Linked DNA regions of Daphnia pulex. The protein of the gene in region 2 purifies or fractionates together with the protein of the main gene of each other region. This does not show direct contact. Links are inferred from orthologs where the notes say so. Each region holds a gene or a part of one and is shown on either strand. Other genes may lie near its edges. The genes, in order: MMS19 nucleotide excision repair protein homolog and DNA polymerase epsilon catalytic subunit A-like.

The links.
Region 1: the proteins of DNA polymerase epsilon catalytic subunit A-like (region 2) and MMS19 nucleotide excision repair protein homolog purify together in Homo sapiens (affinity purification with western blotting; 3 studies listed by BioGRID and IntAct, with this or other methods). This does not show direct contact. The link is inferred for Daphnia pulex from reciprocal best matches to the Homo sapiens genes POLE and MMS19.

Annotation. Positions count from the first base shown.
Region 1 is NC_060026.1:4,198,460-4,202,720, forward strand, and holds the start of MMS19 nucleotide excision repair protein homolog, read left to right. Parts: upstream 1-1,247; 5' UTR 1,248-1,290; coding exon 1,291-1,378; intron 1,379-1,560; coding exon 1,561-1,805; intron 1,806-1,861; coding exon 1,862-2,006; intron 2,007-2,076; coding exon 2,077-2,264; intron 2,265-2,332; coding exon 2,333-2,494; intron 2,495-2,560; coding exon 2,561-2,774; intron 2,775-2,834; coding exon 2,835-2,947; intron 2,948-3,025; coding exon 3,026-3,146; intron 3,147-3,209; coding exon 3,210-3,515; intron 3,516-3,571; coding exon 3,572-3,854; intron 3,855-3,916; coding exon 3,917-4,158; intron 4,159-4,225; coding exon 4,226-4,261. Other genes in the region: glycerol-3-phosphate acyltransferase 3-like, read right to left, coding at 52-399, 461-613. UniProt on the Homo sapiens protein: Key component of the cytosolic iron-sulfur protein assembly (CIA) complex, a multiprotein complex that mediates the incorporation of iron-sulfur cluster into apoproteins specifically involved in DNA metabolism and genomic integrity.
Region 2 is NC_060026.1:11,192,529-11,195,817, forward strand, and holds part of DNA polymerase epsilon catalytic subunit A-like, read right to left. Parts: coding exon 3,213-3,289; intron 3,151-3,212; coding exon 2,718-3,150; intron 2,660-2,717; coding exon 2,354-2,659; intron 2,291-2,353; coding exon 2,021-2,290; intron 1,959-2,020; coding exon 1,651-1,958; intron 1,511-1,650; coding exon 870-1,510; intron 802-869; coding exon 714-801; intron 648-713; coding exon 408-647; intron 331-407; coding exon 238-330; intron 179-237; coding exon 1-178. UniProt on the Homo sapiens protein: Catalytic component of the DNA polymerase epsilon complex. Participates in chromosomal DNA replication.

The DNA.
Region 1 (4,261 bases), about 7.0 Mb from region 2:
AAATTTAATGTTAGATACTGTGAACCAAATTGGTAGGTGAGATTTGAGTACCTTTAGTTCTTCAGCTACAAATCTTCCTGTAACTTCGTCCTCAATGATTGCTTCCACCCCCGCATGAACAAAGTCAAGGCAGTCAGATAGAATAAAATCATTATTCAAACTGTTAAATGATCTGTTTTTGGGGATGGAGGGTGTCTTTGGAGATGAGTTTCCATTAGGTAAAAGTACTAGATCTTCCTTGGACATTGCTGAAGATTTTATAATGGCATGTCCAGTTGATAATTTGTCCTCAGCTTGTTCCACTGCTTCCACAACATTTCCATTTGCATAGCCATTCTTTCCTTTATTGGTCTCTAGTTTCTTTTGCTGCTCAGCAATTTCTATCCTACCAGTTCCATACTAGTATAAAAAAGATTATGAGCATTACGAAAACTCAAATACTAAGAATAAGACATATTACCTGAAAGACCTTCAATAGTAGTTTAACATATCCTGATCGGAAATTCCTTGACCAGTTGCATGTCATCACTAGCACCAAGCAACCAATTACCAGGATAACAGGCATAAAAATTATACTAAGTACTAGCAAAAGAATTAAATTTTCGAGCCCCATTGTAATATTGTTGGTGGGAGCTCCAGTTCAAGAAGTTGCTGTCGTTGTCGAACACCAAGGCAACAGATGTCGGGACCACGTTAAAGGAAGTGGTGGAAGAGAGAGATTTCAAGGTTGACAAGAGAAATGCCGATTTGAGTTGTTGTGCGTGAGTGGAATTCGCGTAACGTAGTCTACTAAAAGACTGCTACGACAGACGTTTTGGGACTCTCGTTTATAATGGGACGTTCAGGCTACAACTGACTTCAAAAATACGTCTGTCTATTGGTTCTATGCGTTGCGCGTGCGACCTTGACGCGATTAATTATCTTTTTCTAGTCCTCCCATGCTTACCAGCACGATTTATCGGAATCACATAAAAGTTTACTTTGGAAGTCTCCACCCATCTGTTTTTTTTCCAATGCGTAATGAAAAATCTAGAAAATACAAAACCTGGGTGATATTTTCCTCCGTTCACGGAAGCTATTTCAAAACATGTTGGAATGCGGTTATTCAATATTTAATTACGAAATTTGTTACAAAAGTCTGTTGCTTGTTTACAATTACATAATCTGTGACAAAATTATATATTCGATGAATAATCAGTTCATGAAAAGAAGAATGTGAGAGGTAGGCAACCATGTGTCATTTAAAAGCAGATGACGTTTACATAATCAGGGCAGAGGTAAACAGTAAACATGGCGATCTCGACTGCGATTCACAAACTCAGAGATTCGTTTAATTCAGAAGAATCCGCGAATGAATCTATTCGCTGTATTAGTCAATGTAAGTTTTTATAATTATAACTGAAAGAAACATTTTTTCGTACTCCGCTCAAGTGTTCGAAATTAGAAAAAAAGAAGGAAAAACACGTGTCCATCATGAGCGCGCCAGATTTAAAACATATGTGTAGAAAATGTTTAATAATTTTAACAAGTTAACATCAATGACTTTGTTTAATTTTTCAGCAATTGCATCAAAAGAATTAACAATTCTCAAGCTAGTTGAAGATTTGCAACCAGATTTACTGAATCAACAAAATACTCACCGATGCAAAGCAGTGTCAACTATTGGCACAATCTTGGAACAGTTGGGGCCTGAATTGAAGGGACTAAATGAAAAGGAAGTAGAACTTGTAACAGAGTTCTTCTGTAGCAAGCTAAAAGATCATCATTCAATACTACCTGCCGCACTGCAAGGCCTCCATGCTTTGGTATGAAAAAAAATACTATTCAATACAAAAGTGTTAAATTTAATACCTTGTCATAGAGCACAGCACCTAAGCTTTCCCCTGGATTGGCCAGATTGATATCCCAGAGCATTTTTCAAGATGTTCATTGTCAATCACAATTGCAGCATGACAGAAGAGCAATTTACAAAACAGTGAAAAACCTCTTGGCTTTTCATCTAAAAGGTCTAAATTATAAATTTCTAAATATATATGCTGTGTTAGTATTTTCTAAATTTTATTTTTAAACTTACAGAATTACAAGACCTAGGCCAAGATTTTGTTTTTGGTCTCATCCAGTTAGCTGATCAAGAAAGAGACCCACGTAACTTGTTGATTCTCTTCAGTGTTTTCCCTGTAGTTGCTCGTTACTTCAGATTCGAGCCGTTTACAGAAGAGTTTTTCGAAGTTTTTAGTTGCTACTTCCCTATCGATTTCACCCCTGTAAGTCTCTTGAAATTTTCAGTTTATTGCTACATGTCAGTAAATCCTAATACTCTTATTTTGAATAGCCAGCTAATGATCCTTATGCAGTAACTAAAGAACAGCTCTGTGATGGATTACGACAGTGCCTTGCCGGTAGCCCTCATTTCGCAGAGTATTGTTTGCCGTTACTGCAAGAGAAATTGGAATCTGACTTGGTTTCAGCTAAAGTAGAAGCCTTAAAAACCTTGGTAATTTTCCCCTTCTATATTTAGTCTTTATGCTTCAATTCTATTGTAATTTTCGACTGTTTGCAGGAACTCTGCTGTCAGACGTATCAACCAGGCCAACTTGAAAAATGGGTGGACTCTTTCTGGACGAGTATACGTAGAGAAGTCTTGATCAATGTCAATACCGACGATCTTGAACATGCCTCACTTGATGCTCTTGCCGCTTTATCCCGAGCTTTTACAACAGACGGAGAATTTAACAGTCCAGCTTTTACCAAATTACTAAAAAATGTGCTGACCGGTAAATGTGTAGCAAATATTCGTTTAAGAGTATATTTAACTGTAGATTGTATATTAATAGAATGTCAGGGGCACTTGTGTGAACCGGAACGGCGATTAATGACTCCGAGCAGCTACATTTTGCTAGCGATATGCTCGGGAAGTGCGCCCGCGTGTGCATTAATTGTTAGCCAGGTATTATTCTTATTCTCTTATAGAACTACAAACATTTTTTTTAAAATCTACTTAACAGAAACCCATTTCTCTAAATAGGTCATTCCCCTTTTGATGGACCAGTACAGGATCAGGCCACAGTCAAATCCACGTCAGTTCATCCTTAATAGTTTGAACAAAATGGTACATGCTGGTCTCTATGGTTTCACTGAAGCAAACGGTACCACATTTTAAAAATTATTAAAATTAGAAACATTTTCATATCTTTGGTTATATTTTACAGTTGCTCAAAGTGGTGTAGCTTCTCTGATACCAAAATTGTTAGAGCTGTACCTTGAGGTCTTACAAGAGGATGACGCAGTTCTTCGCAATCTAAGTCTGCAAGGATTGAGCCATTTAATTGGCACCTGTTTGAACCACCAAGACTTGGAAAAGGTCAATGGAACACTTTTAGATTTACTCCAGAAATCAACAGCCACCGATAGCGTTATTGCAGAGATTGGTCATTTCTTTTGCAAAAGCGCAGAGAAGAATGAAAACTTGTTCCTTGAGCAAGTCTTGGTTAAGCTGTTAGATATAGCCGTCTCAGGTAATTTGAATTTTACCAATTAAAATACGGAAAGAGGTTATCTGTTGGTTGTTTAGGCAAAGCCAATGCGGTTTTTCTTGTGTTATCAACTCTACCGACGTTGTCCCAGATTCGTGCGCAGGTGGTATCCCGACTAATGACCGTGCTCGAACAACCCGAACTGGAATTACGACTTGAAGTACTCAAAGTTTTGACTCATTTCGCACAAAGGGACGAACTAGAAATATTCCAGCAATTGCACCGCTGGGGATTGAAAACATTGGAAGATGGAGATCCTCCGGCGTCACTCCAAGCCACTTGTGTTTTATTGAGAAATCTGGCTTCCAGTTTATCTTCCGCGTAATTCTATTAGATCAAAATGTTGGAAGAAATGTTTTTGTAATCTTCTCGGCATTGTACAGGAAAGCCACGGAATTCATCAACGAACAAACCGAACAATACGTAGGTCAACATCTTGCTCGTTCTCCGTGGACGTTGTCCATAATGGAAGCGACATTGGGATCATTGGATGCCACACCTAGCGGACACAGTCTTGAACGACTAGTTAACACACTAGAACCCATTACTGTTTGTCATCCAAAAGCCGACGTCAGACTGTCTGCCTGTCGGCTAATAGCCGCTCTGGTCAACAAACTTCCTGAAGGTAAAATTTATAGGATCTATTATAAAGTCAAAACCATCAACGTTAACCATTACCTGCTATGTTTAAGGGCATGAACTGGAAGCTATACTCGATTCGTTGCGGC
Region 2 (3,289 bases):
ATGCAGTCGTATGAAGATCTTGGGGAGACTGAATAGCCACAAAAGTTGGTCCTCGTTTCTCATCTTTGTACGTTTGCAGTAAACGATTCATTTGACGGTAGACTTGGCGAATATCTGTCTCCACTTGAATTGAAAATGAATAATCTCTAGCGGGCACGGAACTCTCGACAACGTCAGCCTAATCGTGAAAGTGGAAGTTAAAATAATAACACAAATTACGATATATGAATAGCATACCTGCGATAGCTTTTTAAGCCGCTCCTCATTATAAAGATTAACTAAATTCGGCATTTGGTTGGTCCGCACAGTGTCAACGACAAAAAAGTTGACCTAAGAAGTAAAAATAAATCAATAGATAGATAAACAAACAAAAAAAACTGTCGCTATTATTATTTTTTAATACTGACCTTTTTGGCTGGTGGAGAAAATAGCACCAACATGACTTTATTTCCACTTTTGTAATGGTAGATGTATAGATACTTGAGCGTTTCAATTCCCGATTCTAAATACGGATGGTGCGCCAACGTTTTGAACGACAACTGCGACAGGCTGAAACTTTCGGTATCTCCGGTGGGCGTGTAACGCTGACTCCGATCGACGGCACAAACACATCCGAGCTGGACTAGCACACGAAAATCAAGTGGCACCTGGAACAAAACGTGAAAATGAAACAAAGTTTTTTCGTTGGAACTCAAACAAGTGCGTTTTCAAACCTGGGTTTCATAAATTCCAGCGTTGTCTGAAGTGGACAGATCAGCCATTAACTGATTGAAATTTTGCTGGTAAACTTCTTCGGGAACGCTGAATATCATATAAAGAGTAAATAGATTAATACTTATTTGAGTGAGAATTATAATTTTACTATTTACCTGTATTCGTACAGATTATAGACACGGTGAGAGCGAGGAAGTATCCGATTAACTTTTCGCCAGACAGCTGACTCACTACTAGCTTCTTTTTCCAAAGGTTTCTTCTTATTCAAATAAAAAATACGCGGCACAGTTAACCGAATTTGATGAAGTTCGTTTCCAACCAACGCCCACAATCGAAACATGCCCGGCTGTGATGTTTCCATCACCTGCAAAATTTGCCACATGGATGACAAAAGGGTTTGTTGTGCGCGTCGCAAGAATCCACCCAAATTGGTTCTTAAAACTCCAGCTCCAGAATTTCCTCCAAAAGTCGAGACGGAAGCTGATCCAGTGTTGCTGTTTTGTTCTCTACCTCGACGGGCTGCTCGCTGTTTCAACTGAATAGCCCACTTCTTTTTGTGATAGCGAATCCAAATTTCACGCTCTTCTCCAGGTTTACCCATCGGTGGTGGAGGACCGAGGATTTCTCGCCAATTCTTATCCAATTCATTAGCTGACTCGCTGGAGCCTCGTTTCCTTTTCGAAGTCACCGTAGGTCGATTGTTTTCGGTATTTTTGCTTCCACCCAAATCTTCTATGTCACCCACTTCTCCCAAATCTTGCGAGTTAGAATCGCCACCAACTGGCTTGATAGACACCTGAAATAAAAATTAATAATTATTATAATAATGGTAAAAAAATCTTTGTCGCGAAACATTTTTGGTTTAATCTAATTATACACTTAATTCAACGATTCATTTAAAAAAAATTTTTGTGACTTAAATAAAATCGCTCGCACCTTAAAAATTTCATTGATCCGTCGCTGCTTTAGAACGTCATTTTTTTCTAGCATTCGCTTGTGAAGCCAATCCGGATGTTGGACCCTGGGTACAGGGTTAGCCACGCCTTGCAAGGCGGCAGGGATAGTAATGATTTTTTGGATACAACCTCCAAGACGTTCGATGTAATAATTCCAATCTAAAATTGTGCGAATGTCAAAATCCGTCATGGAATTGTCTTTTAACCATTTTTTCAAATAATGGCGTTTAACACTGGGCTCAGATTGAAAAATTGCCAACGGAATAGCTCTGTCCGTAACAGGGGCACCTGCAAACAATGGAAATGTAAAAAGTTCTCATCATTTGTTGTCCAGTAACAACTTAGCATACCTTCTGGTTTCTTTGAAATGATGAAGCGACAACTTAACCCAGCATCTTTTACCATCTGATCACCCAAAAATTCTGCCAAACGTTTAGCTGTGCTGATGGATGTTGATTTTTGACCACCATATTCTTCTAATTTTCGTGACATTGATCGATTCTCGGTAATCAGCTCAAATAGCTCGGAATCAGGGAGGTTTTCGGCTTTTGAATATAACACATCAAGCCAGTAATCTGCAATTTTAGCCACAGCCTGGTAGCATGTTTCCAGAGTATCACCTGAAAACAAAAACAATTTCATTACATTTCAGATATTTTTTTCTTTGGCAAATGTTCTCTTACCTTTGAGAAACGCTTCAAACACAGACGATTGGAAAATCTTGATGAGCTGAAGTTCTCCACGACGTTTCACTTCGAATCCTTTTAATTCGGCAAGACTGCCGTCAAAGTTGAAAACGGCGTATCGTTTCTTTAACTTTTTGCCTTCTTCTTTCGACGCAGGTAAAATCATCGCTAGATACGGACCGTCAACTTCGAAAAAAATCGAGTTTTCGTCACGCTGGACGTAGCTCAAAGTTTCTGGGTCTACCAACTCGTGATACTGGTTGTTTGTAAAGGCATCTTTCACCATCACATTTAATACAGCTCCTAAAGACACGTAATATTAATCAATTGAAATGTTTTTGTCTTTGATTGTAGCCATTACCTGGATAGGATATCGTAATCTTGGGTTTCTTGAGACTTGAGGTCTTGATCACGTAGTTTTCCGGAAAAGATGACGGTAACATACACCAAATACCATCTGTGTCCAGTTCAAGCGGTCGACCAACTTGTTCGATTAGCTCTCGAGCTTTCCGGATGATGCCAGCGCCAGTGTGACACACAATTCCAGCCATCTCCATACTGTGCCAACGGGCTCCTTTTCGCATGACGTAACCGTAGAAGGAGTTCAAAATACACTTGTGAGCAAGCTGTAGGGAATCGTAAAGCACTTCACGATTTTTAGCCGATTTAATTTCACCGGCATCCCCAAGCGCAATTGCTTCGGCGATTTGCTTCTTGGCAGTCTTATTCAGATTTTTATATTCATATCGTCGATCACGGAAGGCTCGAACGGTGTCAACATAAAAGCTGTTTTCCTACTCCAAAAACAATTGATTATTAAGTATCGGTATTGAAACGCTACGTTAAAGTTATGAACCTTTTGACAAACTGTTTGTTGTCTCTCTTCAGTGCGCGTTACACGAACTTTCTTGTATGCTTTGCGGCAGTATTCGG